4 linked regions of the Arabidopsis thaliana genome follow. The protein of the gene in region 4 interacts with the protein of the main gene of each other region in a biochemical or structural test. Each region holds a gene or a part of one and is shown on either strand. Other genes may lie near its edges.

Region 1 (6,211 bases), 1.2 Mb from region 4:
TGGAATCAAAATCATAGAGAGTGGCTCGCGCTGACAAAGTTATTAATGCTAAATTAAATAAACTGGACCCCAAAAAATGGACTGTTCGATCACTCTTTTTTTTTTTTATCAACAGTAGACTCTGTTCCGTGCAATTAATGCGAGCATCTCTTTCATTTTACTTTTTCAATATTTTGTTTTTATTTCTATTGTGTGAAGAATTTATTTATATTTTCAGTCTCGATAAAACAATGCATCATCATCTGCGGCGTTAGATATTATAATGAAAGATTTATTAGTTGTGTACTAGCTAATGGTTAATATGTCATATGTGTAACAAAATGAGGTGTATATTTAGTTTGTTTTTTTGTTTTTTTGTTTTTTGTCCAATGCATTAGAAGTACTGTCCAGAATTGTAGTATTTCACTACATTTTTATAGTCAAATTATATATATTAAGCAAAAGTCAAAATGACCCTTTTTGAGCTGAGAGCCGGAGACTATAGGCTACAGAATCTAATGTTTGCGTGTGTTCACGATGACCACAGTGTAACTAGATGACATATCTTTTAGGAAAGTAACGAAAAAAATAATCAGCAAAGAAAAACTATTTAAGAAATTACTGAAAACACAGACGTTCACGTTGATATAAATGTACAAATCTTCATTTATCAGGTTATTATGTTTTATGAATCATACAGTTAGTACATGAAATAAACAATATCTGACTCCGTTTTTCAACGTACAGACACGACAAGTAGTCCTAGTTAGGGGTGATAATTTTGGGAGATGCGAAGAATTAATTAAGAGCATGCACATAGCATATGATAATAATGACTCTTGGTTTCTTCTTTATTAATCATCTCATTTAAATATCATTTTCTCGTGATTTTGATCAACATAGGTTGTTACATAGCTAAACCCATTATCAATCCCTTACCTTAGAATTGAAGTCAAGGAAGAATACTAAACCTTACATTATCTTTAGATCCCAAATTCACTCGTTCTTGATAACCTTATTGTCTAACTCCATATATAATTGGCTCGTGTACGCATCTTTAATACAAATAATTTACGAGGTTGCGATTAATTAAAATGAAGGTGCATAGAAAATTAATTAGCAATTATACAAATGTTCTATGGTATTTCCGAAGATTCGAAAACAATGTAGAATATATATATTCAATGAACATAGTATATATTATATTTTAGTTAAACCATACAACGTAATTTAGTCAATACTAGAAGCTTGTCTCTCTCTCCAGGGTATCTCCTCGAGGCATAACATTAATTTCATGTCTTTCTTCGTGTTTCACCATTAGGATTTGTTCTATCTTAAAATCAAGTTAATATTTGTGTATATATTTGACCAGTAAGGCAGTAACATATAAACATTGCTTATAAGGGTGGCAAATTGGTTTGGTTGGATTTGTAAGTGTTATGCCTATGAATTTTTTTTTTGGTTCAAACTCTGCTTAAAGTCTAAAGACCTATATTATGAGTTACTAAAAAAAGTTATTTCCTCCGTTTCAAAATATAAGATGTTTTAAATAAAAATATAAAAATTAAAAAATCAAAATATAAGATGTTTTAATTAAAAATATAAAAATTAAAAAATATTTTTTAAAAAATTCAGCAGATTATAAAAGCTGATGCATAATATAAATATGTATACAATATTAAATTAATCTATAATTTACATAAAAACTTGAAAATATTTTATATTGTGAAACAAACAAATTTCTTCAGAACATCGTTTATCATGAAACGTAGAGAATAGGACATATCATTGATAGAAAAAAGATTTTAGAGATGGAAAAATAACTAATTTCTCTTAACAAAAATAAATTTCCAAAAGGAGAGTGGTGCTTGGAACACCGTATTCAAAAGGGTTATACACTAGACACTACTTTTTTTTTTTTTTACCATCTTGTTTTATATATATTTATTTAAAATTCCTCGTAAAGTTCAGTGTTTTGTGATTATATACAGTGTACACACACCTAAAATAAGTATCCATAAAGAGATTTGGTCATTCGGACACCGTCCTTTTCTCTCAACTCAAAGCTCAATTCAACCACAACAGATAGTAACTTGAAAGTCACAAATATTTAATATTTTCCCATTATAGAAGGTTAAAAAAAATAAATATATTCTGGGTTTTGTTGTCTTCTTCTTTCTTCCTCAGGAAACCAAACCAATGTCATGTAAAAATCACTAACTCATGACTAGTCATAACCTTTAAATCACTTCTGCTTTTTTTCTGTTTCTCTTTTGATTTATTCAAAGACAACAAAGTTTTGTTTTTGACAAAAAATCTGATCTTTGTTTGTTCGTTTGTTTGTTACATGGGGATGAAGAAACAATGGCAACCGGAGAAAACAGAACGGTGCCGGACAATCTAAAGAAACAGCTCGCAGTTTCAGTTCGAAACATTCAATGGAGTTATGGAATCTTCTGGTCTGTCTCTGCTTCTCAACCAGGGTACAATCTCGTAATCTTTATCCTTCAAATTAACTTTTCTTGAAAATAAAGTTTTGTTTGAGACATTCTTGACTTTAGTCCAAAACTCAGATAAAACTTTATCCTTACTTCAAGATTTCGATTTTTGTTATGTTTTCTCGATTAATCCAATTTTTCTTGGCTATCTTTTTTGTTTTCTCTAAACGAAGAGTGTTGGAGTGGGGAGATGGATATTACAATGGAGACATAAAGACAAGGAAGACGATTCAAGCAGCAGAAGTCAAAATTGACCAGTTAGGTCTTGAGAGAAGTGAGCAGCTTAGAGAGCTTTATGAATCTCTCTCCCTCGCTGAATCCTCAGCTTCCGGTAGCTCTCAGGTCACTAGACGAGCTTCCGCCGCCGCTCTCTCACCGGAGGACCTCACCGACACCGAGTGGTACTACTTAGTATGCATGTCTTTCGTCTTCAACATCGGTGAAGGGTAATTCCGTCTCTTCCTCATAATCCTTTCATTTCACCTTTTTTAAAAACAAAAACCTATCTTTCAGAAAAATTTCTTTTATGAAGAATATCGTTTTTAAATTATAGTATTATTTTATTCGTAGACATTATAAGAAAATGTAAACGATACCAAAATTCTAAAAAAAAAGTATAAGGGTATGTTTTATTTTGTCTCATAAAAAAAGACAAGAACACCCTTTATTAGCTTGTCTCCTTCATTTCTTCTTCCATGTGAGCTTATTCAGAAATCCGACATGTACGAGTTTAATTATTAACAATGCAATTATCCTTTATATTTACTTAATTTTTTTTATGTTTGTAGGTTTTTTTAAAGTATACCTCTTTTTAATCTTAGAAGACATACATAGATAGAAATGCGAAAGCACAACGGAAATAAGTTTTTACTTCATTTGCATAATTGCATTATACATTTGCTATTCAAAGAAAGTAGTAGAAAACTTTTGTTCCCATTAAGATAAAGATTTTGAGATACAAAACATAAAGGGTATTTCCGTCTTTCTAATGTAGAATCCCCGGAGGAGCGTTATCCAATGGAGAACCAATATGGCTTTGTAACGCTGAAACCGCCGATAGCAAAGTCTTCACTCGTTCTCTTCTAGCTAAAGTAAGTTTTTTGCAATTGGAAACGCTAACGCTAGAATTCAAGAACGCTATAACTGAAAACGCTCTTTTTTTTTTTTTTTTTCGTTTGGCGTTTTGCTCTTTAAAGAGTGCTTCGCTTCAGACAGTGGTTTGCTTCCCGTTTCTTGGAGGAGTCCTTGAGATTGGCACGACCGAACATGTAAGCCTATATTTCCTATTTTTTTTCCAACACTATCAAAACATTCTTAAAAGTACCCAAAACTTATCTTTTGTTCTTTTAGATTAAAGAGGACATGAACGTGATACAAAGTGTTAAGACGTTGTTCCTTGAAGCTCCTCCATATACTACAATATCGACAAGATCAGACTATCAAGAAATTTTTGATCCCTTAAGTGACGATAAATACACTCCGGTGTTTATAACCGAAGCTTTTCCAACAACTTCTACTAGCGGGTTTGAGCAAGAACCTGAGGATCATGATTCGTTCATCAACGATGGTGGTGCGTCTCAGGTACAAAGCTGGCAGTTTGTGGGTGAAGAAATCAGTAACTGCATTCACCAATCGTTAAATTCAAGCGATTGCGTTTCCCAAACGTTTGTTGGAACAACCGGGAGACTTGCTTGCGATCCAAGGAAGAGTAGGATTCAACGGTTAGGTCAGATTCAAGAACAGAGTAACCATGTAAATATGGACGACGATGTTCATTACCAAGGCGTGATATCGACGATTTTCAAAACAACGCATCAGCTAATACTCGGACCGCAGTTTCAGAACTTCGATAAGCGGTCTAGCTTCACAAGGTGGAAGCGATCATCATCTGTGAAAACATTGGGAGAGAAATCGCAGAAGATGATAAAGAAGATACTCTTCGAGGTTCCTTTGATGAACAAGAAAGAAGAGTTGTTACCGGACACACCAGAGGAAACCGGGAACCATGCCTTGTCCGAGAAGAAACGCCGCGAGAAATTGAATGAACGGTTTATGACATTGAGATCAATCATTCCCTCAATTAGTAAGGTAACCGATTCTAGCAAATCTGTTTCAGTAACGTTTTATGTTTATTTCTTGATAATAGGAAGACATGTTTAAATATAATGCTCTGAAGGAACTAAGCTTGAGTCTCTTGCTGATTCTACAGATTGATAAAGTGTCGATTCTTGATGATACAATTGAGTATCTTCAAGATTTACAGAAACGGGTTCAAGAGTTGGAATCTTGTAGAGAATCTGCTGATACAGAGACACGGATAACGATGATGAAGAGGAAGAAACCGGATGATGAGGAGGAAAGAGCATCAGCGAATTGTATGAACAGCAAAAGGAAGGGGAGTGATGTGAATGTAGGAGAAGATGAACCAGCTGATATCGGTTATGCTGGTCTAACGGATAACTTAAGGATCAGTTCATTAGGTAACGAGGTGGTTATTGAGCTTAGATGCGCTTGGAGAGAAGGGATATTGCTTGAGATAATGGATGTGATTAGTGATCTCAACTTGGATTCTCACTCGGTTCAGTCGTCAACCGGAGACGGTTTACTCTGCTTAACTGTCAATTGCAAGGTACAGTCATTAAACCAAGCTTGATTTATGTTACTCAACCGGAATATGAGCAAACCGAAATGTGATATGTAATGTTTAATGTTGATTGCAGCATAAAGGGACAAAAATAGCAACAACAGGAATGATCCAAGAGGCACTTCAAAGGGTTGCATGGATATGTTAAGGATTCAAGGTTTAGATTTGACAAAATTAGCTTTTTCTCTGGTTTGGTTTCCCAATTTTCGGTAATCAGTGATTCTAACCGAGTTTTTGTGATTTTGAAGTTTTGGAAGATCCTTAAGAATTCTTGAAAAATCGTTCCTTTTGGCTCATTACGTAGGAGAAGACAATAAGAAATTACTTACTTAGCAATTAGCATACTATGAAATTCAATTATGCGAAATATGAAAACCACTCGTAGTAGTTCGTGCACTATCATTTTTAAAAGTAAGTAAACTAGAACTTTTTTTTTGTTGTTGAAAGTAACTTTTGTATAAGTATTTGTAACGAGATCATATTTTGTGACTAGTTCAAGTTCGACCAAAAACATTATAGTAAAATCTAAAGAGATACTACATAGCCCGATTCCAGTATCTTAAGTCTTCAATCTCACTTCAAATATTCTTTATATGTTTTTAGAAAAGTTATGTAAGAAATTAAAAAAATATTTTTAGAAAAGTTAAAGATAGAAATGGTGGTCAAAAGCTGATAAAAGTGTTCGCAAAATACACTGCCTTATAGAGAAAAGAAGTAATGTCATTTCAAATAATTGCATCTAACGCCACTGAGATCTCACTTCAACATGTGTTACCATTTTAACATTAACTTTTTATTTCAAAAAGAAAGGAAGAAAATTGTAAGCACAAGGACTATACTGTATTTGGATTTCGTTTGGTAGCATCAAAGTAACACTCTCATTTTAGTAAGAGGTTAACTTTATTGAAAATACACATAATGTGGGGTTAGAAATTGTGTTGAACAATTTCTTGATTTAGAACGAAACTTAAAAAGAGTGGAAATTCTTTAATGGGTTGGTTGGCATGGTAGGTGGCCATTAAGAAGATCCATGAATTGGTGAAGTTGAGGTTTATATCATGTATTAGCCTCGGTATATAGTGTGTAAACC
Region 2 (6,404 bases), on a different chromosome or scaffold from region 4:
ATATTTTCCATATGAGGTATATTTTATTCAAAGAAAAATATTTTTAGTCATTAATTTTGGTTCTACCTTCTAAATAACAATATTTTAGCTTTCCAATTTGGATCTTTTTCTTGATAATCAAGTTTACCCATTTTTCTATATTTTATATTTTTACACAAATTAGAAAGTAAATTAGAATTCACCTTAGAATTTAAAGGAATAAGATTCATGTTTTTATACTATTGTTTAAGATTTTTTTGTCAACACAAAGATTTTAAATGATAAGATAAGAGTACTCTGGTTTTCCATTAATATATGAAGATTATTTTCAGTTTGGGTTTGAAATATCCTTGATATTAAACGAAAAGAATAACATGAGTTGGTAAGTAAAACATAATAAGACATGACTAGATAGGTAAAATTACATAAAGCAAATTAGAAAGTAATTTGGTCAACACCTCTAAATTTGTAAAAATAAGATATTACAGCATTTATTTTTGTTGATTTTCACTATGTTATTTCAATGAAATCATTTATGACCCAGTTAAGGAAATTAATCTGGATTTCTTATCATAAACTTTACCTCTTTGTTATCCATGAAAATGCCAAAATGCAGAATCTTCTCCCGTTTCGTGTGAAGCTTTTTGACCACTAATTTTCATTTACACATTAATGTTTTTTTCCCCGTAATTTCACATCAACCTTGTGCTTAAACAACAAAAGAACACAAAATCATCTAAACTGGCTATTACTATTACTAATACCCTTAAAATAATCTACCTCAAACAAAATACGCATAGTGTATGTTCCTCTTCACCTACGTTAAGCAACGGAAAAAAAGACACAAAAAAAAAACAAAAAACAAATGATAAACATAACATTAATTCCTAAAACCCGGTTAGAAGAAAACCAAAGAATAGAAACCAAACCGGGAATGTTTTTTCTTTGCTGTCAATTTTAACTAAGTAGTCTTCAACAGATCCATGCAACCCTTTGAAGTGCTTCTTTGATCATTCCTGGTGTCGCTATTTTTGACCCCTTGTGCTGAAACCAACACATTTCATGTCAATCTAGGTTAACCAAATCCTGGTTAAGCCAAAAGTAGGTTAGAGAGTATACCTTGCAATTGACGGTTAAGCAGAGCAAACCGTCTCCGGTCGAGGATTGAACCGAATGAGAATCCAAATGGAGATCACTAATCACATCCATTATCTCAAGCAATACTCCTTCTCTCCAAGCACATCTAAGCTCAATAACCACCTCATTACCAAACGAACCGATCCTTAAATTATCGGTTAAACCAGTAAAACCGGTATCTGCTGGCTCGGCTTCACCAACATTGTTAACCGACACCTTCTTCCCATTTCCTGTTTCATTATTTGCGCAATTAGCTGATGTTCTTTCTCCTGCGTCGCATGGTTTCTTCCTCTTCATCGTCATCGTCCCACGAGTCTCTGTATCGGTTGATTCTCTGCAAGATTCTAGTTCTTGAACCCGTCTCTCGAGTTCTTGAAGATACTCTATCGTATCGTCAAGAATCGATACTTTATCGATCTATCGAAAATGTTAAACATAAGATTAGTTACCTCGCGATATATATGGATTTGAAATTTTGAAGAATCGATTATATAAATATACCTTGTTGATTGACGGAATGATTTTTCTCAAGGTCATGAACCGTTCGTTCAATTTCTCGCGGCGCTTCTTCTCTAAAACCGCATGGTTCCCAGTTTCATCTCTGGCTTCTGGTGAGTCCAACATTAACTTCTCTTTCTGGTGCACTCGCGGAACATCGAAAATAATTTTCTTTAACATTCCTTGTGATGGTGCCGTGACCGTGGCGGTTCCTGATGATGATGACGATGATTTCTTCCACCTAGTGAAGCTTGACTGTTTATCGCAGTTTCGAAACTGCGGTCCGAGAATTAACTGATGGTTGGTCTTAAAAATCGTTGAGATCACACTTTGGTAATGAACGTCGTCGTTTCTTGGATCAAATGACAATGTCTTCACATTTCTCTGTTGCTCTTGAATTTGCCCTAGTCTTTGAACTCTACTCTTTCTTGCACCGTAAGCAACCCGTCCAGCCGCCCCTTCAACAAACGTTTGAGAGACGCAATCGCTGGAATTTAGCGACTGGTGAACGCAGTTACTAAGCTCGTCGTCCATGAGCTGCCAGCTTTGCACCTGAGAAGCTCCTCCAGTGATTCTTTCGGTCATGAAAGAATCATGATCATCTGCTACTTGTTCATGTTCTTGATCGAAACCGTTGGTAGTTCTGCTCGGAGAAGCTGTTGGAAAAGGCTCCGTACTGAACATAGGCGCGTAAATCTCGTCGCCTAGAATCTGTTGCGGATCAAGAACGTTGTCGATGTGATAATCGGATCTTGCTGGTAATATTGTAGCGTACGGATCAGGGGCTTCGAGGAATGATGTCTTCACGCATTGTATTACATTCATGTCTTCCGTAATCTACGAGACGAAACACACCAAGAAAAAGCCTTGAAAAAGTTTTCAATTATAACTATACCAACGAGCTAGTAAAAAGTACAAAAGCCGTATTTTCGCGTTTTGTCATAACCAAACCGTGGAAATCTTTAAAAATCGAGACTACTAAAATATTAGTTTGTGTGTTCTTGGTGTCTATACCGTTATTCGACAGATTGAAGGGTCAAATTGAAATGTTAGAATACATTGTGGTAATTTTATAATTATTCTTTTTTTCTTAATAAAGGATTTTCATAATAATTATTCTAAAACATTGGAAGCAGAAAACACAAATATTGGCTTACATGTTCTGTGGTACCAATCTCAACGACTCCTCCAAGGAACGGGAAGCAAACCACTGTCTTAACCGCAGCACTCTAAACCACCACAAAACGCAAACAAAAACGAACGATTTTAGTGTTTTCAAATCGCAAAAAAGTGTTACATAGCAACTACATCAATACTACAACTTACTTTTGCTAGAAGAGAACGGCTAAACACTTTACTATCCGCCGTATGAGCGTTGCACAACCATATCGGTTCACCGTTTGCAAACGTCCGTCCAGGCATTCTGCAAAAAGACAGGTTCATTTAGAAAGCAGCAATGCATTCTAAGCTTAATTTTTCCACATTTTTTCTTCCTAACATATTCATAATTATTGAAAGTTAATTAGCCGTGTTCATAAAGACCAAAATGAAACGAATTTTTTAATTAATCCGGACAGAAACAAACTTTTGTGATGATAAATAAACCGAACTAAACTCGAATCGAACACAAATATACTGCAACCAAACCGAATTAATAAAATTTATTAGATGTAGAATAGAGTTAAACATACTAATGCATATATATACACATTATTATTTAAAATTAATTATGTTTTAACTTTTTCTTTTGTAATCTGAAACCGACCAAATCCGGACATTAAATTTTGAAACCAAACTGAAACTAAAAAATTGGTTCTAGCTCATACTTTTTTCCTGCAGAACCCTGAAATCTAACAAACCTAAACTGAACCATAAAAGTCGAAATCCTTGGACCTACTAGTATTAAAAGTATATTTTGGCACGTTGTTTAAAACTGGCAAAGATCAACACGATCATGACACATAATAAATGTCAATGCTGATAGAGGAAAAGACGGAATTACCCTTCACCAATGTTGAAGACGAAAGACATACAAACCAAATAGTACCACTCGGTGTCGGCGAGATCTTCCGGTGAAAGTGCGGCGGCGGAAGCTCGTCTGGTGACTTGAGATCCGGCAGCAACGCCTGAAGAAGAAGATTCAGCGACGGAGAGAGACTCGTAAAGCTCGCTAAGCTGCTCGCTCCTCCGTAGACCAAGCTGATCAGCTTTGATCTCCGAAGCTTGAATCGTCTTCCTCGTTTTGATATCTCCATTATAGTATCCATCTCCCCATTCTAAAACTCTTTTTATATATAGAAAAACAAAAACAAATATCAAATCGAATAAAGAAAACAAACAAAACATTTTCTTGAACTAATCAAGAACTTCAAGAAGAAGAGAAAAAAAATTGAACTTTTAAAGAAGATCAAGAAACCTTATATGAGTTTATAAGAAAAAATCAATGGAATCAAGAAAAACCTAGAGAACCTTGTCTTGAGTTGTAGAACTAAACACTAGTTTTGATTTGAAGTGAACACATAAGTTTTATCTAATTTTCCAATTAAAATCAAGAAATTTACTTCATCAATATCTTTCAAAATCTCCAATATCTAGTGTTCAATGAATATGATTTAAGAAACTTACCCAGACTGAGAAGCAGAGACAGACCAAAAGATACCATAACTCCATTGAATGTTTCGAACTGAAACTGCGAGGTGTTTCTTCAGATTCTCTGGCACAGTTGTTCTGTTTTGTCCGGTAGCCATTGTTTCTTCATCCCTATATCCCATGAAACCACACACAGGGAAAAAGAAAAGAAAAGAAAAAAATCAAACTTTTTGTCCTGATTTAGAAAGAAATAAGATACTATGTTAAATTTATAGCCTAAAAAAGAAAGAAAAAGGGAAACTTGTAACTCTTTACATTTTTTTTGAAGTATCAGAGAGGATACAAACTAGATGTTAAGGTTTTTGTGTTTGTCATTTGATGAAACAGTTGCCGTTTTCGCCGGAACAAACAGAGAAATGTTTGAGAGTTTTTTTTTTCTTTGGTCACTCCATACTTTTTTTTTATTAATGTTGTTTTGAATATTAATTTTGTTGTTGTTTGAGCTTGAACTCGAAAGACTAGAAGAACTGTCTACGAATCCTTTTTTTCTTTGAATATGACGATATCATCTTTGTTGTGTACAGAACAAAACACAAGACATTTATGACGAAAATAAAAAGTACTTATAATTTTTTAATGATTTATGAGAAAAAAAAAGGATACAAAAGTAGAGGAAAAAAGCAAAACGCTGATGTTGATTGATTGTTCCTCTTTTTATCTTGAAGTTGATTGATTAGTTCCTCATTTGGGAAGAACAACCTTTTTTTAAGACAATGAACTACAATGTCCATTGTTGTGGTCTTGTCTTCAATAAATTCTCTATTCAGTCTCTTTGTGGTTCTAGAGATCTCTTTTTTTTGGGAATATTGAATCATTGTGTGTCTCTTCCAACACTGATTTTAAAGTTAAAATGTTATCACGTCAAGGCTGAACTTTTCACCCATCTATTCTTGAAAAAAAATGTTTCCCTCACTTAATATCCCCACTGATACCAAAAAAAAAAAATTTGTTTCCTTGACTATTAGATCTTTGAAGCAATGTTGACTAGAATACCATTAGCATGTGATCCAAGTCCAATCTAACCAGCATCGTATGATTTCTTTCATTTTGTATAATCTAATCAGTCTTATTACTATTTGAGTGATCGAAATATATTATTGTCGGTGAGTAACATCGTTTTATGAATTTTCCAAAAGTACACAAAACGACCAAAAGTATAATGTCTCAAATCAGAGTATATGATTAACATATATAATAATAGTAAAATCATCAGCTTTTTACTTGGTGTCAAAACGAAGCTAATCGCTATGAATCTAAATTATAGTCACAAACACAATAATAGATAAATTGAGGAGGAAAGAGATAATATAAGAACAGTCTTTACTAAAATTGGGAAACACAAAGAAAGACACGAAATTAATGTTTGGCCTCGAGGAGTTCCCCCAATACGTACAGACACAATCTTAATTTTTGCAATCACATCTTTAAAATGAATAAAAATGTTATGGACATTTTCGACGTTGATTCTCCCTATAGTCATATACTTACAATATTATTATATTTCAAAATTCTCTTATACTATTAAACCTATATTTTCGAAGTATTTATGCAACTATTTAAAATATAACTTTAAATAAAACCCTGCTAAATGGACCATTAGTACTTATTATTTTCCTTTTCTGACATCTAGAAAAGAGAGAGACGTTGACGTCAGAAAACATTAAAATATATATACACGTTCGGTCCCCTACAAGATCAAAGTCTAAACATTCGTAGTGCTGTTGATCGGAGGTTTCGGTAAATTAATCGGATGTGTTGATGTTTGAGGGTAATATTTAGGAAATTTGGTATAGCTTTCGATACAACAATATAAAATTTGTCTGATCCAAACTTATGTAACACTAATATATATTGTTATTTTCAATCAGAATACTAACTCAAGTTAAATGGGGAATTCAACTCCTAATCCGATGAAGCCTTGCTGGTTTGGATCAAGACGTCATCTTCACTTCAACAACTCCATCTCCTGACTCCTATCTTTCGCTATGGTTTGCTAATTTCCAACAAAATTAGACCACATCTTTACTGATCTTACTAGAACACTCGTCTCTATATGTTTATCTTATTTGATTGTATCTGAGCATTAAGGCTCCTCTGTAAGACCTCTTTCATATATATAAACGGAACTAATTAAAAAAAGA
Region 3 (7,158 bases), on a different chromosome or scaffold from region 4:
CAAAGGAAGTGGAGCCAATGCAGTTACACATCTTGCAGCTTTGATAATGTATGATGATCAACTAAGAGAAAAATATATATAGCTCATGCTGCAACTATGAACATTGTCAATACATTTATCTCGTTGGTTGATAGCTTAATATTCTTGACTTATAAATGTTCTTCCATACACTAATTATGAGTATAACTATTAGTCTACTCTAGAAATTGTTGATTCTTACACTAAAACGCAATTTCGTAATTTTGCTGGAAAATTTGATTTCGTAATTTGATGTGCTACAACTTGATTCTTAAAATTGAGCACCAAAGTAGAATGTAATGTTTTATATAAACTCTTTGATTTCTCTAATCTGAGGTTAATGATAAAATTACATAAATTATGACATACAAATTTTGGCATAAATTATTTTAATGAATTTTGTAAAGATTTTTTAATAATATTTTCTCAAATTTGAACGTAAGAAAAAACTACATAGAAATTCTACATCTTTATGCATCAAAAAAAATATGATGTTTTAGATGCAACTGAATCTGCATCCAAATATCGCATTCATACAAAAGTACTAAATTGGACAACGAACAACATCGTCATCTAGTACATTTGCATTTATATGTTGCAATTGCATCATACACAAGTACTACATTGGACAAATGAACAATATCATCTAGTACATTTTCATTTATATGTTGCATCCGGCTATATATGTAACTGATGTCTTAATACATGTGAGGCTAAAACAAAAATACGCTTAATTATCCTTCTCTAGAGTTGGCATCAATAAAGTTAGGGTCTATAGATTAGTATCATGTATTATGACTTGGTGGATGGCTCTTTTGACCTCAGCGATGCTTGCTTTCTTCCCTCTTACTTTCGCCCTTATCTCCGCCTCGAAATCATGGTCGTTCACCGAGGTATGAACTGCCGTAGTCTCTATACCAAGCTCATGAAGAACCTGAAGAATGTCAAGCAACAAACCATCTCGGTACTCACATCTCATCTCTAACAAAACATCATTCTCTATGATGGAAACCTCCACCTCCTCCGATGTTTTTCTCTTACAAGTACGCGTCCGCTTATGCTGTTGCTCATGATGAGTATTCTCAAGCTCATGGACCCTCTTTCGAAGATGATTTACGTACGCAATGGTGTCTCCAAGGATTGAGACTTTATCCATCTTGGTCACAAATGGAACCATTGATCTCAACGTTATGAATTTCTCGTTCAGCTTCTCCCTCCTGCGTCGCTCTGCTACTACGTGGCTCAGATCTTCCCGCGGTAGCCTCTTATCTTTAGTGTTGTCATGGAGGAAAGGAACTCTGAAGATCATTTGTTTGAGCACCCATTGTGACGACGGCGCCGTTTTCACTTGCTGATGCTCTTTGCCATTCTCAACCCTCCACGTGGCAAACGATGATTGGATGTAAGAAGATGTGGAAACTGAATCTGAAAGAAGACTTGTGGGGTGTGACATGAGAAGTGTTGTTACTGTCTGAGAATAGTTTCCACCTTCCTCCATTAGATTCATCATGTCCATATGTGTGTCTACATATATATACAAATGATAATTTCTTAGATATAGCGAAATAAATCCGCAAAATATAAGTAGCTTAGGGTAGATATATATACCTAACGTATGGGTTGATTCAATATGAAGATCAGAGTGTAGATTTTGATTGGAAACATCTTCATCATCAGGAGAGCCAAGCCTCATTTCCTCTGACATTGTCATCTCTTCTTCTACTTCTTCTTCGTCTTCGGCTTCTTCATGCACTTCGTAGGTGGAGTGTTCAGAAAGAGCCGGCTTTGGGTTCGTCTTGCAGTGGTCATAGAAGAAACTCTTTGTGAGCTCAACAAACTCTACATCTTCTCTTACCTACACACACAAATACAACAAATAAATATTGATCCATCACTACAAAAAAAAGGATAGATTACATCAATTAAATAGTATCACAAGTATAAATGGTACAAGTTTAAATTACTTATAAGCAAATGACACAAAATAAATAATTAAACATCAATTATAATAAGTGATGTATAAATTAACATGTTTAGCGTCACTTTAATCAAATTGATAGAAATTTGTATTAGTTTGCATCATTTTAACAAATTGATACAAAAATCTGTATTTACACCAATTAAATAACCGATGTATTCACTTAATTTTATTAACATCAGTTTATAAAAATGATATAAAATTATACATCAATAAGAAGTGATGCTAATAAGTTTTTCTGTATTTTAATTTAAACAAAAAACTAACTTGAATTTATTGTAGATGACGAGAAATTGTTATTACCATAAATAAATAATCATATTGGGTTAATAATTTATTATTAATTCCTATATTTTCCCTCAAAATCAGCTAACTAAATATATTTGTTTCCTTCACTATAAATCCTGCTTTTACGCTCACGATCTTTTTTTACAGTTTTGTATCCAAAAACGTTTTTAGAATATCTTCAAATTAGTTTTTGAAATCTCATAACTCTCATTCAATTCTTCATCTTCAACGACAAGTACTTTCTTATTTTTCTATCATTCTATCTTTCTCTTTTTCTTAACCATTGCTCAGTTTTTTTCTTTTCTTTTATTTTCAGAAATCTGCCATTGATCATTAGGACTGTTTGTTTTCCTACACAGTTTGGAGAAACACAAAGTAAAGGTACTCTATCACTTTCTTTTAAAAATACTTACAAATGGTTATTCTTATTCCGACCAAAACAATTCTGTAAATTTTCAAACAATTACTCTCTTTTTTATTTTGTACAGCAGAAACTCAAGTGTGATGAGGATTCAAGAGATATAAGTTATAACCAAAGTATGATTTTGATTCTGTAAATGGAAGAGAGATGGCATAGAAGAAGAAATGGTATTTTTCAAGAAGAACCAACAGTTAATGGAAGGAAGAAGCATGGAACAGAAGAAAGATGTGTTTAAACACGAAGAAACCAAAACCAAATTATGATTATTTTTTTGCTTATCTTATATAAAGATTTATTGTTCATGTAAAATATTTTATTAAATCTTGATAAAATTTTAGTAGATATTCCAACGAGTAATTATCCACAATGATCTGTTATTTAAAAAAAAAAAAGAAATAAATAAAATAATTATTTGAAATATTAATAACATTGTATTAATAATTATATATATATTAATTAAATCAGTTATTTAAACCGAAACAAATACTAACATCACTTAAATAAATTGATGTAAACATTACATCATTTTTAGTAACTGATACAATATTGATATCAATTATAATAATCGATGTAATTATTTTGATTATTTACATCAGTTACTAATTAACTGATGCAAATTATTTGCATCAACAATATTTAAGTCACTTATTTAAGTGATACAAAATTCTTTTACATCACTTTTAACTAATGCAAATATTTATAATAAATGATGTAAAACAACCTTTTTTTTGTAGTGCATCTCCTTAATTTAACATTACTAAACCTAAAGAAAGATAGGCTATATTCACTTTGTTATTTTGTTTATATATTTCATTAACAAGTAAATAAAAGAGAGAGTATATACAACGTTACCTTTTTCGTTGTGCCTAGTTCCACAACACCATCAAGCATTGGAATGCAAACCACTGTCTGCTTTTTTAAAATACATTTTCATCAGAATACAATTCTCAAATCTTACTAAAAAGAGCAAACTAATAAAGACAAATTTTACCTGAATTTTAGCACTCTAAGTCATTGAGGAACCGACGTAAAAGGCCCATAAAACGACAAGAAGAATTATTCAAGTTAATCAGTGAAAATGTATAAAAGTATAGATAAATAGGTTTACAAGTAGATAGATACATAGTATAGTGTATACATAAATAGGTAAAAATAGATGCATAGTATAGTTGGTGAATGAATAAAAGAATTTACCTTAGCGAGAATAGCTCTAGAAAAAGTTTTACTGTCAACTTCATTTGCACCACTTAGCCATACGTGCTTCCTCCTTGCATACGCTTTTCCTGGCATCCTACAAATTACTACCTCCCAAATTTATATTTGATTTTTTTTTACCACATAGAGAAAAGCATGAAGTATACCCATAACTAACCCATTTTGTTATGCATTTATGTTATATCTATTCATGCTTCTACTTTAGATAATCAATCACCAAACAATGAGAATCTCAACGGTCGCAATAATGTTCATGAAAATGTAGTGTGTGTACGTTTCATTAACTCTCATTTCTTTCTTATTCTAGTAACTCAACTTCCTCAGTTTCTCTTTAATGTCAACACAATATTTTCGATATTCGCATTTAACACACAATACTATTTTTGTCTTCACTTAGAGAAGGAAAAAAAAGAAAGAACAAATTTAGAAACTTGAGTATAGGGAGAGAGTTGTTTACCCAGATGGAGGAGGAAAAGAGAAAGAGACGCACATTAGATAAAACCATTCTGTCTCCGTCAAATCCTCCGGTGACAATGCGGTGCATGCTCTTGCTTCTGACGTTGACTCTCCGGCTAAAAGTGTCTCATAAAGCTCCCTGAGCTGTTGGCTCCTCTCTAACGCCGCCTCTTCTGCCGTCACCTCCGCTGGTTGAGTTGTCTTCCTCGTCTTTATTGCACCGTTGTAGTATCCATTCCCCCACACCAAGACCCTAAACAATGATACTTTCATATAAGTAGTTCAAAAATCTTAATAAATTTTGTAAAACCTTCAAAAAAAAAAAAAATTATTTCAAGATCGAATTGTAACACTACGACAAGCCAACAATTAGCCGAATTCATTTAAACATATAGTTTACATAATATATACGGATATAGATATTATGGTTGTATTGTGAGAGATGAATGAACTATAGAGATAAGAAACTAACCGTTGTTGAGGACAAAATTGCCAGAAGACACTATAAGTCCAGTCCACAGATTGAACCGCCGTCTTAAGCAGCCCTTGAAGCTCTTTTTTCTCAGCTCCGGCCACTTTCTCTGCCGGAATAATACTTGATTCATCCATCGTTCCCGGAGATACGAAAACGTGGTAGCTCTCTCTCTAAAAATCTTATAACTTTGAAGGGTTGTTATTAATATGTGAGAAGAATTTACTCTCATACGCTCATGATGACTTAAAATGGTATGGGACCACTGATTTTTGCAATATGCATGTATACGTATATCATCTTAGTGCTTTTGCAACATGTTGACATAAGTAAAGTATAATGCATGTAATGACTTCTATGTATATATGTATGTATATGAATGCATGACCAAAACTCAAGTGCATTAAAAGTTGACTTTTGATTTTTGAATGGTTGGTTCACCAGACGTTGGATGAGAAAGTGAAATAATGAAAGATCTATGTATCTTGTAGACGTGTCATATACTAATTGGACAAATCAAAATACAGAATGAATATATCTAATAATGCTATATTTATTTATTGTTCAGAAAGCATAACATATTATTGTAGATAAAATAGCTAACTGACAAACAAATGAAAACAAATGTTGCTTTGACTTGTGTTACTGCTACAAGGAGCAAAGAAATTGCGTTTTTCACATTTCTATTATTTATAAAATTGATATTAAAATTATATATTGATTAAAATGTTCATTAACAATTTTAAGAAGTTGGAATTATTGGATGAACATTCATATATATTTTCTTTAAAATGAAAAGATAAACTTAACCAAAGATGGGGAATGGTAGAATTGTTGACCTGACCGGTAAGTAAAGAATGAGAAATGGTTTGGTGTAATAAAGGAGAAGAATGAGATGTTTCACATTTGAGTTATTAAATTATTGATGTTAATTGCTAGCCAAGTAGCAGCCACTAGCCACTATAAGTTTCCCATTTAATAATGTCTTATAAAATATAAATGTAGATAGATACTGTTACGTACACATATCGTAGTACATACGATTTTGGGTATGGTTAAGGGTAATGTATGTACACCTGGTTACTTAGACAAAATCAACATTGAATGTTTCTTGGCTTTTTTGTCGACAAAATAAATGTTGCTTGGCTTTTGCTTCTGCTTCTGTGTTTCTTATTACATGTTGTTTCTTCTGAGTTTAGTCGTTCACCAATTATGTAACTCTGACGACGGGCCACGTGGAGTGGTTTCTTCTTATTGATTTTGCTTCTCCTTGTGTGCATCTTTGTGTTTATAAATAAAGGTGTTATGTAACTCATTTCTCATTGGAAATGATTCAAATAACAGAAAATAAACAATACTGTTCTAACACAGAAATGAGCGATTGGTTATTCACAATCACAAGGACAATGCTTTAGTACATAAACGAGAGGTTGGTTAGGCACAAATGTTAACTAAAACCCAAGTTCTTCCATTCCAGAAATGACAAATCATTCCTATTTATAATGCTTTGTTTTCAATGAAAATGACATTAGCCAAAAGTGTTTTGGCAAGAATTAGTTGTTGGAATACAATATATCTTTACAACGCACAACTGCATGAGCTTTGAAGGACCCCGGCCGGTTTATGATGAGAGTGAACTATTTGAAAAGTGGACCACATAATTGTAGAAAAATAATGGGTAATATAGTGTGATGCAAATTGGTGTGAAGTTTTTTGAGTTATTTTTTCTTTCTTTTTCTGAAATGTAATCATTCGTGTGAATGAGAGATTTCTTGTATTTTGTTCAATATATTAAGACCCGGTCCAAACCGGTCAGTTGGACCGTAATCCCATGATCCCGTTGGGGATCCATGGCTAAAATCGCCATGTATTGAACCCTGAAAAGTTCATCATTAACTTGTGATCTGACCGAATAACGATTTAAAAATCACTTACATCAATCTAGAGGATTTGATTTTATAACCTTTTACCACAGTTAGAGGAATTAGTTTGACATTTTCGGATAACAAATAGTATGGTTTTCTTTTTCCTAACCCTTTTTTGCTACCCAAAACCTAAGCTTTATAATCTTTCATAACATGCGTAAGATAGTAAAAATATCAAGCGGTAATGACTAATGAAAAGACAAAAGTCTAGTGTCTAGTGGTATATTTTAAATTCTATCAATAAAATTTTGTAATTTTTCTTTTAGTCGTGTGTATTGTAACATTGACTAAACTATGTGATTTATGATTCTTCAGATCTTGAGGAAGAAATTACATTATCTACAAAAAAAGGGTGTAAGTGATGGAGATAGACAAAATTTATTGC
Region 4 (3,831 bases):
TAGAAATGTCAACAGTTTTGAGCAAACATAATCAATAATTAATATATGATTTCATATAACTACTCTAATTAATTCAGGAGAGTGGTGTGTGTCTGTGTGTGTGTGGTGGGGGGGGGGGGGGAGGGAAACAATTACAAGTACTACAATAGTACATTGTCATTTATTTGTTGCAGAACGAATAGTGTATCCATTTTTCCTAACCCTACTTGCTTCCATTATTGTATCAATCAAATAATTTTTGTAAGATAATATTAAATAATTATGTTTACTACTGTACTTAAACTAGCTATTATTTTAACGGTTAGACCAAACAGATCTTAATTATAACTTTCTTATGCTTGTGAAATACCACATTACCATACAACCTTCCACCATGTCTACTTGCCATAAGACATATCTTTCATGGTTAAAACTTTCTTATGCTTTTGAATTTTCTATGGTTAGGTTGAGTGATATTTTAACAAACATTATCACCTTTAACTTTAGTTAGAAAATACTGCATTTAGGAAAATACTGTATTTTCTTTGCGAAAAATATAAATAACGTTTTTTTTTATTACGTAGAAACATAACCATTTTTCTTAAAATGCTGAAATTCTTTACTTCATACAGAAAAATACATTACTAAAATACGAAAGAAAAGCCACCCACAATCTTAAACAAACGGTGAGAAACACTAATCAAGTTCAACAGTCTCTCCATCAAACAGACTCCAAAGTTGCTCAACGTCAAACGCCAAAGTGGCCCCATGTTCAGCTGTCGTCGCTTCAGGAACAATCGCATCAGCTTCTTGGTTTTCCCCCAGTAAATTCTCCAACCACATATTATCTCCATTCATTAGATTATTCACAAAATCATCTTTCTCATCATCTTTGTTACATGTGATACTATTTTCACAAACATTATTTTTCTTGAGTCCAAGGCATGAAGGAATTAAATCAACTTCTGGCAGACCATTGAGATGGCTGCAACCATTGTTAACAGAGAAGGATCGAGGTCGAGGCTTAAAAACACCGATTTTTTGGACCGGTGTTGTAGGAGGGGAAATAATGTTTTTCTTTTTCATTTTAGACTTACAACACGAAGACTCATGTTTTTTACTCAGATGGGTGTTCCAGTAATTTTTGACATCATTAGCGGTCCGACCAGGCAATCGACCAGCAATCAAGGACCACCTAAACATTGTTAAATAATATACATATAAGTTATTAGTGTTGAACTTATGGCTCTTGAAATAACCATTAAAGTAAACAATACCTATTTCCTAGAAGCTTATGAAGGCGAAGAAGAAGATCAACTTCATCATTGCTAAGTCTTCCTCTCTTGATACTTGGCTTCAAATAGTTCAACCATCTTAGTCTACAACTCTTTCTGCATCGATTTAGCCCTACATAACCAATAGTTGACATTAATTATACCAACCAAGACGGCTTTTGGGTCATTTTCTATGTTTCATCTTGAAGAATCTAAGCACACCAATAGAAAGATTAAACTGTTTCAACACAGTAACCGTTTGTTCATAAATTTTCACTGACTTCACTCACCAGAAGACAGCCCAGTGAAATAGTTTAACAACTTTACATGAGCTTAGCATCTTCCTTGTTTGTGAAGAATAAGCTATATATATATATATATATATATATATATATATATATATGCTACGTAAATAAAAAATAGTATAACTTTTTTATTTATATAAAACTCTTCGTTTAAATAAACTGCATAAAGAATTATTCTGAATAACCAGTTGTTTTTTTTGTTTTTTTTTGTTTTACCATACACTAGCATATGAATCAATAATTTGCTCCTTAAAACAAAAAGAAAAGTAAAATAAAGATTTCCGAATATTATATATAGAGAAGAGAATATTCTTAGTCATGAATATATCTGTGTGTGTAACATACCAGCTCTCAAAGGAACTTGATGCCATTTGCCTTCTCCATACTTATCAATACATAGCCTCAAGAGACTATCTTCTTCAGCAGTCCATGCACCTTTCCTCAACCCTTTGGACGAACCCTCCATGGACCAAAGAAAAATTAATATAAAAGTATTTTATCGGATTATTCTAAAACTTTTTTAAAAAAGGCCGAGGAATAGGGGGTTATTGTGGCTTCCCAAATCCTGGGAGGACTTATTGATAATGTGAGCATGTGAGCGAATAGGTATATATATACACGTGAAGGGCATAGGAAAATGACGTGCATGTTTGATATCCACATTTCATGTATTTGCGGTTCTGCTTAATTTACTAAGTTATTGTTTGATTTGACTAGAGAAAAAGTTCATAGCACCTTTTCCAGTACTTAAGAAAAACAAATTACACGTTTCTTATCAAAATTAGGAGAAAGGACTAGTAATGATTGGTCTCAGAGGGTTCATGATTACAAGGAAGAGTTATTTCATGCACGAGAAATAGAACAAAATAAAAAAAATAGGGTGCACCTTCTTACAAAAACTTTTGGAGTATTTTTCTTTACTGAAAATTTTGCAAATAATGTTCACAAACTCATATTTCGTCTTATCATTGTTACATGTGAATCTGATACCACCATATTTGTTAATGCTTACTTTGAAAGAGCTAACTTCTGGCTGCCCGTTGAGCCGGCCGTTATAGAATTGAGTTCGAGGCTTTATAACATTGAGTCTTTGGATCGGTGACGTAGCTGAACATGTAGTTTCCCTCTTTCTCATTCTGCTCTTACAACACGGTTCTTCTTTCTTGTTGAGATGGGTGTTCCGGTAATTCTTGACATTATTAGCGATCCGACCAGGCAATCTACCGGCAATCGGTGACCATCTAAGCTTGCATTGGAACAAGTTGTATTGGATAATTACATTATGTAAATAAATTAGATTTGTGTGTGAGGAATATAAACTTGTGTCTAATCAATATAAGTGACTCAATAGTTTACAACAATAGTATATATACCAGCTCTTAAAGGAACTTGATGCCATTTGCCTTCTCCATACTTATCAATGCACTGCCTCAGAGACTATCTTCTTCACCATCCCATGTACCTTTCTTCAACTCAGTGGACGAAGAAGCCTCCATGAACCAAAGATAATCACTAAAAGTATCACAACCAAATTATTTAAAAACTTATAAGTAAATTGCTGATGAAGAGGGTATACATACTATGGCTTACACAAATCCTTGAAAGACATTTGACAATGAGAGTATGTGAGCTATTATATATGTACAAGAAGAGCGTGCATGTTTGATATCCACATTTCATGTCAATATGCAATGATCGATTGCTTCCGTGGTTGCAAAGAGAACAAATTTTCCAAGCATGAAACACATAGCCATTGTGCTTCTAATATCTTCCATGCTTCCAGCCCAATTCATTTCTGGATTTGAAATACAACCCCAAGCTTGTGGTCCATTTAATGTAGCGTATAAATCGCTTAGCCTGCTTGAAGTAAAACATCTTGGGCTACTCATGTGCCGTGATAGATAGCTTATTTGCATAAGCAATACCTAGTCGTGTAGTTATCCGATAGAAGCGACTTCAATTCCCACAATAATTTGATACTCCCTTTCATCTGCCAATCTTTTTTCATTTCTATTTTATACTTTTTCACATTCTTTTTTGTCTCGACATCGTCGACCTCTTTTGGTCTCCACTAGTTGTTACTACTATATATGTAACTCTCAATGTAACATACAAGCTAAACCAAATAACTAAAAGTTACAACTTTCCACATAGTACTAGGTTCTAATCAATGCTATGCGTGGACGTAAAATTTATAAGAAAAATATATATTATTTGATTACATTTATCATCTGATTTAATTATTTAATTATTTTCTATGATTAAATATTTTT

What was found.
Region 1: the proteins of MYB90 (region 4) and EGL3 form a complex in vitro, tested with the Arabidopsis thaliana proteins (2 studies listed by BioGRID).
Region 2: the proteins of MYB90 (region 4) and GL3 form a complex in vitro, tested with the Arabidopsis thaliana proteins (2 studies listed by BioGRID).
Region 3: the proteins of MYB90 (region 4) and TT8 form a complex in vitro, tested with the Arabidopsis thaliana proteins (one study listed by BioGRID).

What each region holds. Positions count from the first base shown.
Region 1 is NC_003070.9:23,597,466-23,603,676, forward strand, and holds EGL3 (basic helix-loop-helix (bHLH) DNA-binding superfamily protein), read left to right. Parts: upstream 1-1,947; 5' UTR 1,948-2,185; exon of another isoform or gene 2,186-2,338; 5' UTR 2,339-2,343; coding exon 2,344-2,462; intron 2,463-2,650; coding exon 2,651-2,923; intron 2,924-3,471; coding exon 3,472-3,568; intron 3,569-3,673; coding exon 3,674-3,745; intron 3,746-3,827; coding exon 3,828-4,565; intron 4,566-4,686; coding exon 4,687-5,106; intron 5,107-5,197; coding exon 5,198-5,269; 3' UTR 5,270-5,699; downstream 5,700-6,211. UniProt on the Arabidopsis thaliana protein: Transcription activator, when associated with MYB75/PAP1, MYB90/PAP2 or TT2. Involved in epidermal cell fate specification. Negatively regulates stomata formation but promotes trichome formation.
Region 2 is NC_003076.8:16,527,414-16,533,817, reverse strand, and holds GL3 (basic helix-loop-helix (bHLH) DNA-binding superfamily protein), read right to left. Parts: upstream 4,729-6,404; 5' UTR 4,521-4,728; coding exon of another isoform or gene 4,519-4,520; 5' UTR 4,386-4,518; coding exon 4,240-4,385; intron 3,899-4,239; coding exon 3,617-3,898; intron 3,038-3,616; coding exon 2,941-3,037; intron 2,844-2,940; coding exon 2,772-2,843; intron 2,452-2,771; coding exon 1,618-2,451; intron 1,534-1,617; coding exon 1,099-1,533; intron 1,024-1,098; coding exon 952-1,023; 3' UTR 531-951; downstream 1-530. UniProt on the Arabidopsis thaliana protein: Transcription activator, when associated with MYB75/PAP1, MYB90/PAP2 or TT2. Involved in epidermal cell fate specification.
Region 3 is NC_003075.7:6,179,894-6,187,051, reverse strand, and holds TT8 (basic helix-loop-helix (bHLH) DNA-binding superfamily protein), read right to left. Parts: upstream 5,172-7,158; 5' UTR 4,986-5,171; coding exon 4,849-4,985; intron 4,630-4,848; coding exon 4,378-4,629; intron 3,997-4,377; coding exon 3,900-3,996; intron 3,712-3,899; coding exon 3,697-3,711; intron 3,615-3,696; coding exon 3,558-3,614; intron 1,874-3,557; coding exon 1,627-1,873; intron 1,543-1,626; coding exon 791-1,542; 3' UTR 529-790; downstream 1-528. UniProt on the Arabidopsis thaliana protein: Transcription activator, when associated with MYB75/PAP1 or MYB90/PAP2. Involved in the control of flavonoid pigmentation. Plays a key role in regulating leucoanthocyanidin reductase (BANYULS) and dihydroflavonol-4-reductase (DFR).
Region 4 is NC_003070.9:24,762,245-24,766,075, reverse strand, and holds MYB90 (myb domain protein 90), read right to left. Parts: upstream 2,136-3,831; 5' UTR 2,025-2,135; coding exon 1,904-2,024; intron 1,387-1,903; coding exon 1,257-1,386; intron 1,175-1,256; coding exon 676-1,174; 3' UTR 535-675; downstream 1-534. UniProt on the Arabidopsis thaliana protein: Transcription activator, when associated with BHLH12/MYC1, EGL3, or GL3. Promotes the synthesis of phenylpropanoid-derived compounds such as anthocyanins.